2 linked regions of the Arabidopsis thaliana genome follow. The protein of the gene in region 2 interacts with the protein of the main gene of each other region in a pairwise test. Each region holds a gene or a part of one and is shown on either strand. Other genes may lie near its edges.

Region 1 (7,248 bases), on a different chromosome or scaffold from region 2:
TTATTTCTTTGTCCAATTTGAATGATAGATGTTGTTTTAAATCTCCACTGGTTGTGTACTAGACTAGGTCGAAGTGTGTCTTCGTTAAAACAATATACAACAAGAATTACCAACTTTACATGGTGAAAAAAAAAAAAACATTTACATGATGAACCCTCTCCACAAGATAAATCTGTCTTGTGATATTTCATTATTGGAGTTCTTCGTAACATTTACTATTATACATCTTATTAAACTCAGGATCAACGAGATATACGCTTGTAAACAAGTTCTATTACGTTCATGTTTTATATTTAGACTAAATTTTGACCAACTTTTGGTTTATTAGACCATTTATATCTTCTTTATTTATCTTCTTTTGAAGGAAATATAAACAGCTCTTAAGTTTTGAAGGAAATACATAAGTTTTGGTATATTCAACTCTTCCTTTGGTTTTCAAAATACCGAAAGTGGGAACAACCTAATGCATTTCTTGAGATAGAAACAAAGACGAGAATTAGTTGTGGGTTACAAATTCATGAAATAATTTCAATAAATTTCACCATATGTATTTCACAAAATATATATCACACTACGACAATTCAACATCAGTATTACATGTTATTAGTGAAAGCCTTAGTTATTATTGGCGAAAGACACTCTTGAAACACACAAATTTGAATATTCATGAGAAGAAAAACCAGCAAGAATAAATTTTGACGAGCTAGCGAGCTTGAGGTATTACCTCATTATAAATGTCTCTGCTGAATTCCATTGAACCTTTTGATTCCATGTCTCGTCCCTCACCTATCCTAGAGGTTTCGGATATAAGACATTCTTTTAATTCATTCACAACTCGAGACATGTTTGGTCGTCTTGCAGAAGAAAGACTCACACATGACATTGCTAATTCAATGGCCTTCCAGACAGAACCAATATCATAATCTTGGTGGAGGTTTGGATCCATAATACTTCTAAGATCTCCTTTTGTTATCATAAAACTGACCCATTCCACTATGTGAGGCTTTTCACGGGATTGCTGGATTATAGGACGGTTTGAAATTATCTCTAACAGTACAATTCCGAAACTGTATATATCACTCTTTTCTGTCAACCAATTTGTTTGATAATACCTGCAAAACAAGAAATTGTTGTGATTGTAAAGTAAAAAAAAGGAATGGTGATTTTGGAACTAACATATGAAGTTATACTCACTCAGGATCAAGATATCCAGGAGTACCAGCAACAACAGTTGACACATTTTTCTCATTTCCGATGGGAAAAGATCTTGAAAGCCCAAAATCAGCTAATTTAGCTTGGAGATGTTGATCTAGAAGTATATTCGTAGTTTTGATATCTCTGTGAACCATTGGTGGTACACATCCAGTATGTAAATACTCCAATCCTACATATTAAATTTAATACCATCGTTTATTGGAAAATGGAGATTAATTTCGATATCATCATATGGTTCCTTTCTGATCCGGTCGAGGCCATACTAATACCCATAAAAGCTGTAATTATTAACTAAACATTTGTCTTAAAGTTTAATGAATACCTAGTGCTGCATCCAAAACTATTTTTAGTCTACTTTCCCAGCTCAGGACGAATCCGCCATGCTTTCCTGTATCAATTAAACACACTTCATATCAATTTAGTTATGATCTTTAATTATTCAGAAAAAAAAATTATATCATGGTTAGGTTTTATTAAGAAAACAATTATATATGTGATATTACCTGACAAATGTTGCTTTAAGTCTCCATTTGGCATGTATTCATAAATAAGAGCCAAGTGTTCTCCTTCATCACAATACCCAACAAGACTCACCAAATTTATATGGTGAACTCTCATAAGGAGTTCCACCTAACCAATCATCCATCATCCAACACTCTTAGAGATATACAAATCAATTGGATATCTATTGAGAATTACTAGAAAAAGGGTACCTCTGCCTTGAAATGCTTATAGCCTTGAGAAGATGATTGTGATAGCAATTTAACTGCTACTTGTTCAATAACATTAACAAAACCATGATACACGACTCCAAATCCTCCTTCACCGAGAGCTTTATCGAAGTTATTTGTCATTTCTTGAACCTCAGAGTAAGTAAACCTAATTTTTTTCGATGTGAATGATGATTCTGATTGACTATTGTGCCCGGGATTCGATACAGGCATACTTGGTGGAGCATGTAGATCTACATATGATAGTATATTTGGTTATATGCTAACTATATGCATTGCTTTATAGCAGGTAAACAAATTATTAATGGCTCATAACTTACTTGAAGGGCTGGCCTTCTTCTTTCGGAAGACAAAAAAAAGAGCCACAACCACAACTACAATAACCAAAGAGGCAGCTGATGCAATAACCGGGAGCAAGAATTTATTTTTCTTTTCGGTATTGCAAAAACTGGATTTGCACAAATCTGGATTTCCTTCAAGTCTACAATGAATATGACATATTTTGAAATTGTAAATAGCTTGCATAGGAAAGGCAATAATCGAACTGTCAGGTACCATATTTTGCGATAATTTAATCGACATGAACTCTCTTAATTAAGAAAGATCTAGCAGTTAAATAGTCTCCAAAAATGAAGTTCCTCTACTTTGTTACTATATGATTAGTAAATGCATTCCCTCTATGGAAAAGGAAATCTTACTTTAACACAAGTCCTTCTTTTTCTTTGTCAAGAAGAGCTTGAGGAACTGAACCACTGAGATTGTTCCCACTTAAGTTTCTGTTGAGACAAAGATAACCATTATATATACATACATACGCAGGTCAAAATGTTCATTTATGCTTTTTAGATAGCTTACATTAAAGATAACGTTTTCATGTTGGCAAGGAAGATAGGCACCGGTCCAGTCAAGCTATTATTTGATAAGTCCCTGTGGTTATATGCACAAACAAAAGAAATTGTCTTACATATTCTGTCCAAATAAATCATTATTGGTTCAGGTGATCAACAGTAGAGATACTTACAGTTCTTGTAATTGCGTGAAATTTTGTAAAATTTGGGGTATACTCCCATTTAATCCACTTTTCGACAAATCTCTAATAATACAAAAACACATACAAAATATTTAGATATTTAAATTTTAAATTAAAGAGTAAGTTTGTGAATGACATTACAAGGAAATGATTGTTGGTGAAGTGGAGCCATCTACGTAGGTGCATCTAATACTTTCCCACGACAAATCTTGAGGGAGACATGGATCTCCTTGCCAAGTGATTTTATTCAGCTTATAAGTATTTTTGATGTTCTTGATAGCGTCCACTGACACAATTATTAAGAGAACGTAACAATCAATATCATACTTTATAATATAATGTAAGAATCAATATCATAGCTTATACTTTATAATATAAGTTACATTCCTGTAATATTGAAAGCTGAGAGGTACGTACCATCACTAAGACTTGTTTCCAATTGTGAGAACTCGATAACACTGTATGCCTCAATAGCGTTGATCAGAGGTGGCAGAGTTGAGTTCGGTGTTTTTACTAGCTGTAAATAACAACCTTCTGAACCACATTTCATTGGTTCTTCTGTGTATAATGTAAATACCTTTAACTTGGTTGGACTAAATCCTGAATGATTAAAGTTTCCTCTCAAGATAACGTCAAACTGCCTCGTCTCGTTGGCTTCAAGGGTTTGAATCTCCGCAAAGTGCATGTACAAGTATACCTCCGCATTAATGGGTAGTGGATCCCACGTAATAATCAGCGGCGCACTGGCGTTTCTTGGTATGGCAGCAGTTTGGAGTATATTTTTTGGAATCTCATATGCATTTGAGTTGTTTATATTGAGATCAGTTGTTATATGTGTATGTGAAGATCCGTTGAATGGAGACCAAATACGATCATGGACGTCATCAGCATACCTACAATAAATTTTATTAGCCACATAAATTAATAAGTAAATTGTATTAGCCAAATACTAGTCTATGAAACTAAGATACCAAAAACTAAGTTAGTTGGCAACTATCCGAGTCAATCACCTTGGCTCGTTTTTTTAATAATGAATTCAATCATTCAATTTCATTTATCGTTGCTTGTTTAGTTTGATTTACAATAATGTTAGTCTTTTGTATGTTTGATTTGGTTGTTTGGTTCTTGCTTATTTTCTTTCAATTAATTAATTTAGTTTTAATTGTGAACAAAAAAAAGAAAAAAAAAATTTGTTTTCTTAGCTCATATTAGTATCTTTTATTTCTAGTTCGTTGTTCTTAGTTCTTTGTTCAATTGTTACAATGACTTGCCATATAGTTTTGGCATAATGTAGTTACGTTGGAGTCTTAAAATTTTGAACACATCATTCAACAATGATGTTTTTAACACAAGTAAAGTCAACATATCCCCTCATTCATATCTTCTCCAGAAAAAAAAAGAGAGAAAAACCTCACATTTTTTAAAAGAATAATGTTAAATTTTATTCAAAAGAAAAACGTCACATTGAATGCTTCAAATAGATTGACTTACCTTATAGATGCATCTGAATTGCTAAGATAAACCCGGAAAGACATCATCAGCGAACCAGATTGTGTAACATACGTATTATTCCTTAGTGGCCGTATTTCTATGGCTGAAATTATTGGCAAAGTTTCTCCTGTCTTAACAAGACAAATATCCAAAGAGTTTGACCTGGCTTTGTGTATGATCTCTTCTCTTGTACCTTCTTTCTCTCCATCCAAATCTATTCTTTTCCACTTATTGGGACCAAGATGGATATCGAAGTTTGGATCACGGTTAAGACCATCATAATTTCCATATACAAAGCTAACCACGATGAGATAAGTTGTGCCACGCTTGACATCAAGACTATAACAATTACGTTTTCCTTCTGGGAAGTATCTAAGAGTCAAATATTGTTTTGATAAGTTTATGTTAAGATCTTTATCGACACTATCAATTTTTCCTGTTTGGATGAAAGTGGAATCCGATGTGAATGTTAATCCGTTAAACGAATCATCGTAAGGAGATTCGTCACTAGGTAATCCACAATCTAAACTGATGAAACCTGTTCAAATATAAAAGCAATAAATGGGAAAAGTGATATTGATACATTCTTATATAACATATCACAAGTCAAAGGATTGATTTATAAACAAGAAAGAGATGGTATATATCATTACCTTCTTGATCCTGGGCTCCAATTATAACGACAAAGGTTCCAATCATGGCCAACAAAAGGTGAATCTTCATGTTCTCTCTCGATCACTATCCGGTTTCTCTAGTACTCAAGAAAAAACAAAGACTTGCTTAGGGAAAACTGCAAAAGATATGGAACTGAGAGATACCTCATGTATAAGTTGGAATGAAATATACAAAAGTCAACTCCGGGTAGAAAATTAAATAATGATCGTGGAAATAATCAATCTGGTGTTGAATAGTTGTATATGTTCAGGAGACTCGTCATGTGTAGGAATATTTCCTCCACGAATGTATGGTTTATCGCCAGATGATCTTACTTTGTCTATGTGCTTAAATTGCTTGAGTGAAGAAAAATCATTTGGTATATCTTCATTTAGTAGTCAGCCACCAAAATAACGAATGAGAAAACTTTCGAGCACAAAGATATATAAAGGTTTCTTTCGTGGATAAGTATTTCGTTTGGATCCCGTCCTATAAACTAGTTTACTAGATTGGATCGAATATATATAATTAAGTTTCAGAATTAGTATACAAAGATCATGTTTTTTGATTAAAAAGAAAAATCATGTTATTCACTGACACATTATATTTTGTTGATTTTTTCAGCGGCAAACTAATCATAGACCAATCAATCAAAGGTAAAAAATTAGGGCTGACGTGGCAGGGCGATTTTGAAGGCGATTTAGGGTTTCACTACCGTGTGTCCCAATCTGGCAGATCTGGCGGCTTTTCCGCCGTCTTCCCCCATCATGTCGACGGCGATGGTGGTGGAGAGCACATCGAAAAGTTCAGAAGCTTCCCCAGAAACGACCAAACCATCATACTCATCAATTGTTCAGAATAGACCAACCCTTTCGAAGCATGAATTCAACGTAACAATGGTCAACGGTGATTCGATTGTCCAAGTCCCAAATGAAATCTTTGAAGATTCAACACCATTGTGGGATGATTTGCTCATAGGGCGGTTTCCACAAATATCTCCGCATATTGCAAAAGTTCACGTTATTGTGAACAAGATCTGGCCACTTGGAGACAAGACGGTAAAGATTGACGCATATGTGGTAGACACTAAAACAATCAAATTCCGAATCAGAGAGAGTTCAGTCCGAGCTAGGGTTCTTCGCAGAGGAATGTGGAACATAGCTGACATGCCTATGATCGTTTCTAAATGGTCCCCGGTTGCTGAGGATGCTCAGCCAGAAATTAAAACAATGCCAATGTGGATCACCATTAAAAATGTTCCACGCTCAATGTTTACTTGGAAGGGTCTGAGTTTTCTTGCAAGTCCTATTGGGGAACCAAAAAAGCTTCACCCTGACACAGTTCTGTGCAACAGTTTTGAGGAAGCTAAGGTATTTGTAGAAGCAGATTTAACACAGGAAATGCCAAAACAATTCCGCTTTAAATCTGAAACTGGCGTTGATGCAATGGTCGAATATAAGTATCCTTGGTTGCCGCCGAGATGCTCTTCATGCTCTAAGTGGGGACATATACAAGAGGTTTGTCTAACGCGTCCATCACCCAATCAGCTATCCACACCAACGGAGATAGAAACAGAGGATAAAACAGAGCCTCCTCTCATGAAAGAAAAACCTCTCGAAATACTATCGAAATCTCCTTCGGCTACTTTGACAAAAACGCTAAACGGTGATTCTCACACTCAGAAAGTTCCAATGAAGAATCCGACTGTTTTACAGAATAAGGGAAAGGAAGTTGCAGAGGAAAACGAGGAAAATTTGAAGGACGAAGGTCCCTGGCACACGGTATCGCCTGCTAAGGTAGGCAGGCAGAGGAGTCCTCAACCTCAAGAAGTAGTTAATCATGCGTCTCCTTCTCGTTTTGATGTCCTAGCAGTGGAGGAGGACACGGCTGACACAAACGGTCATGAGGAAGGAGAAATTGTTGTTCTCTCCCAACAATTAAATGATAATTCAGATTCAGTTGGTGTTCAAGGGACTCGTCCGTACATCCCACGAATCTCAAAGTCTCAGCATAAGGTGGTCAAAAGCTCTGCGAATCAAAACACGAAGGGTAACCCTAGTGTTTCAGGTCATAGGGCTCATAAAAAGAAATAATTTTTATGTCGGGTTTCTTTTGGAATGTCCGTGG
Region 2 (3,837 bases):
TCACATGTACTTACAAACAAAAACTTAAAGACTTTGCAATTTGCGTTACGAATATTTTTCGTCAGGCTGTAATTTGAAAAGTCTTCTAGATGATTTCAAGTCTCTGCTTAATGTGCCAACTAGGCTCTATGTCACTACTTTGTGTTGTCTCTAATTCTCATTCTTCTTGACAAGACCAAACATATCACTAATGATGAAGAGATGACTAATATTTGTTTATACATTTGCTTGTAATGAAGACATGTAGTATAGCAAAGCACCATATAATATAGTGATAGCATTCTATTAATTTGTTCTTTTTTACAGCCGAAGAAGAAGAGTATAAGAAACATGTTTAAGATTCAGCCTTAAACAAGTGAAGAAAAAACAAAAAGAAAGGCTCAACGAATGGGAACTTTGATCCAACCATTGGCAAAAGCAATGGCTAAGATGACGAATGGAGTTGACATACCGAATATGATAATGTAAGGAAGAGGCGTCTTCATCGGATTCTCTCCTTCTCTTTCTCCAACGCTTTGCCAATACCTACAAAATTCCAATGCAATCCTCATCCATAACCATTTCTTCAATCACAATTGCATGTTTATGAAAAATGAACATGCAAGAATTTAAGTTCTTTTTCTATTTTAAAAGAGTTTAGTTCTTTTGACTAAACTACAACCCAAATATTTTTATTCTTTTGCTAACACGGATTTGAGTCTGGATATTGATACAATACTAACACAATGTCACAAACCACCAGTCTACATGTCATTGACACATACAAAAAAAAAAACTACTTAAATTCTGCAATGGAGACTAAAATTTTTGTATTAAATTGGTAACCTACATATCGTTTTGTAATTTTCCATGTTTTCATCAATTTCCTAGGTTTGTTTTTCTGTGATTTTGCAAAATTACATTACCATTCTATGAGTTTCTGTTATTTTCTACAATCTCATGATGAAAATTGAGAATTAAGATTAACTTACTGTTCAGGTTCTTCCTCTTTGGTTATAAACTTTTTCTTATCTTTAGGCTTCACTTCTCCATCTCCTCCACCTTATGCAATAACCAAAGATTAACAAAATTTACATCTACAAACAAATAAAAGATATAAGAGTACCTAATTTGGCATGAAGCTTGAATTCTGGGAATCCTAATGGTGATGGTGGACAAAAGAATTGAGGTAAAGCAAGCAATGATGAATATGAAGAAGATGATGAAGTTGAGGAATCACTAGCCCTGTGGCTAAACGAAGAAGAAGAAATTCGAAATTTCGCTGCCATTTCCAACAACTATATGGATGTGATAGAATATTTTTACATTTTATTTTTCTGTTATTCACTTATACATTTGGATGTGATAGAATATTTTTTTCTGAACACACAGATCTTATCTTCACCGATATATTAGCTGAAGCCTGATACATTTACATTCCTTATTTATTTTTTATTCACATGTATGTACTAATAAACAAAACTTAAAGACTTTGTATTATGCGTTACGAATATTTTTCGTCAGGATTGAAAAGTCAACCCTAGGCCTTTAGCTTCCTTCTTTTATATAAACAGAGAAACAAAACACTTTCTTTCTCAGCCTCTCTGTTTCATCTTCTTCTCTAAACTCTCAACATGTCTTGCTCGGCCACCGATCTCGCTGTCCTGTTGGGTCCTAATGCCACGGCGGCGGCCAACTACATCTGTGGCCAGTTAGGCGACGTCAACAACAAATTTATCGACACCGCTTTCGCTATAGACAACACTTACCTTCTCTTCTCCGCCTACCTTGTCTTCTCTATGCAGCTTGGCTTCGCTATGCTCTGTGCCGGTTCCGTGAGAGCCAAGAATACTATGAACATCATGCTTACCAACGTCCTTGACGCTGCAGCCGGTGGTCTCTTCTATTATCTGTTTGGCTACGCCTTTGCCTTTGGATCTCCGTCCAATGGTTTCATCGGTAAACACTACTTTGGTCTCAAAGACATCCCCACGGCCTCTGCTGACTACTCCAACTTTCTCTACCAATGGGCCTTTGCAATCGCTGCGGCTGGAATCACAAGTGGCTCGATCGCTGAACGGACACAGTTCGTGGCTTACCTAATCTATTCCTCTTTCTTAACCGGGTTTGTTTACCCGGTCGTCTCTCACTGGTTCTGGTCAGTTGATGGATGGGCCAGCCCGTTCCGTACCGATGGAGATTTGCTTTTCAGCACCGGAGCGATAGATTTCGCTGGGTCCGGTGTTGTTCATATGGTCGGAGGTATCGCTGGACTCTGGGGTGCGCTCATCGAAGGTCCACGACTTGGCCGGTTCGATAACGGAGGCCGTGCCATCGCTCTTCGTGGCCACTCGGCGTCACTTGTTGTCCTTGGAACATTCCTCCTCTGGTTTGGATGGTACGGATTTAACCCCGGTTCCTTCAACAAGATCCTAGTCACGTACGAGACAGGCACATACAACGGCCAGTGGAGCGCGGTCGGACGGACAGCTGTCACAACAACGTTAGCTGGCTGCACCGCGGCGCTGACAACCCTATTTGGGAAACGTCTACTCTCGGGACATTGGAACGTCACTGATGTATGCAACGGCCTCCTCGGAGGGTTTGCAGCCATAACTGGTGGCTGCTCTGTCGTTGAGCCATGGGCTGCGATCATCTGCGGGTTCGTGGCGGCCCTAGTCCTCCTCGGATGCAACAAGCTCGCTGAGAAGCTCAAATACGACGACCCTCTTGAGGCAGCACAACTACACGGTGGTTGCGGTGCGTGGGGACTAATATTCACGGCTCTCTTCGCTCAAGAAAAGTACTTGAACCAGATTTACGGCAACAAACCCGGAAGGCCACACGGTTTGTTTATGGGCGGTGGAGGAAAACTACTTGGAGCTCAGCTGATTCAGATCATTGTGATCACGGGTTGGGTAAGTGCGACCATGGGGACACTTTTCTTCATCCTCAAGAAAATGAAATTGTTGCGGATATCGTCCGAGGATGAGATGGCCGGTATGGATATGACCAGGCACGGTGGTTTTGCTTATATGTACTTTGATGATGATGAGTCTCACAAAGCCATTCAGCTTAGGAGAGTTGAGCCACGATCTCCTTCTCCTTCTGGTGCTAATACTACACCTACTCCGGTTTGATTTGGATTTTTACTTTTATTCTCTATTTTCTAGAGTATTATTTTAAATGATGTTTTGTGATACTTAAATATTGTTTTGGATATTTTTTTGCATTTCAGTAATGTTTTAGATGTACAGTTTCATGGGGTTGTGATGATAATATCTATGTGGTCATTTGTGTTCTCTTTGGAGTTTTTTCTATAACGCTTTTTTCAAATTTTATGATCATTATTTGCTGCATTCTAGATAAGCAATTAGGAATGTGAAGCATGGACTAAGTAAAAGCCTGACCGTTTTTAAGTTTGGACTTTTGATATAGCTCATACTTTTTTGATATTAGTTCATACTTATTGCTTTAAATAGCTAAAAAGTCTAAAACAAACCTTGCATTGACGCAATAGATATAAATAACTCGAAGTATTGCTTTCTAGAAGCATTAACAATTTGGTAAAACGAAGTTGAACCATTTACTCAAGCATAATAATCAGAAATGACAATCTTTCATGTCTGATGCAAATAAATAATAATTTATGGAAATAATTTCTATGTCTTACATCACTAATTAGACTTTTAGATGCTTGCAAGTTTGAAGTTTCAGCAGAAGTAGGTGCTTTTACAAACTCTTTTTTGTTTTAATTTGATAAAGTGTGTTTTTACAAACTCTGTTTTATTTTATTTTGAAAAAGTGTGTTTTTACAAACTTTCAACCAACCTATTCACGAATCTCTAATTTCATTTG

The links. The genes of interacting proteins can lie anywhere in the genome.
Region 1: the proteins of AMT1;1 (region 2) and AT2G28990 interact in a protein complementation assay, tested with the Arabidopsis thaliana proteins (one study listed by BioGRID).

The regions. Positions count from the first base shown.
Region 1 is NC_003071.7:12,452,997-12,460,244, reverse strand, and holds AT2G28990 (Leucine-rich repeat protein kinase family protein), read right to left. Parts: upstream 5,609-7,248; 5' UTR 5,191-5,608; coding exon 5,121-5,190; intron 5,006-5,120; coding exon 4,468-5,005; intron 3,870-4,467; coding exon 3,394-3,869; intron 3,263-3,393; coding exon 3,118-3,262; intron 3,040-3,117; coding exon 2,968-3,039; intron 2,874-2,967; coding exon 2,802-2,873; intron 2,723-2,801; coding exon 2,645-2,722; intron 2,428-2,644; coding exon 2,267-2,427; intron 2,180-2,266; coding exon 1,929-2,179; intron 1,846-1,928; coding exon 1,719-1,845; intron 1,604-1,718; coding exon 1,538-1,603; intron 1,385-1,537; coding exon 1,195-1,384; intron 1,113-1,194; coding exon 704-1,112; 3' UTR 540-703; downstream 1-539.
Region 2 is NC_003075.7:7,856,607-7,860,443, forward strand, and holds AMT1;1 (ammonium transporter 1;1), read left to right. Parts: upstream 1-1,576; 5' UTR 1,577-1,613; coding exon 1,614-3,119; 3' UTR 3,120-3,312; downstream 3,313-3,837. Other genes in the region: AT4G13500 (uncharacterized protein), read right to left, coding at 381-525, 972-1,041, 1,106-1,268. UniProt on the Arabidopsis thaliana protein: High affinity ammonium transporter probably involved in ammonium uptake from the soil, long-distance transport to the shoots and re-uptake of apoplastic ammonium that derives from photorespiration in shoots.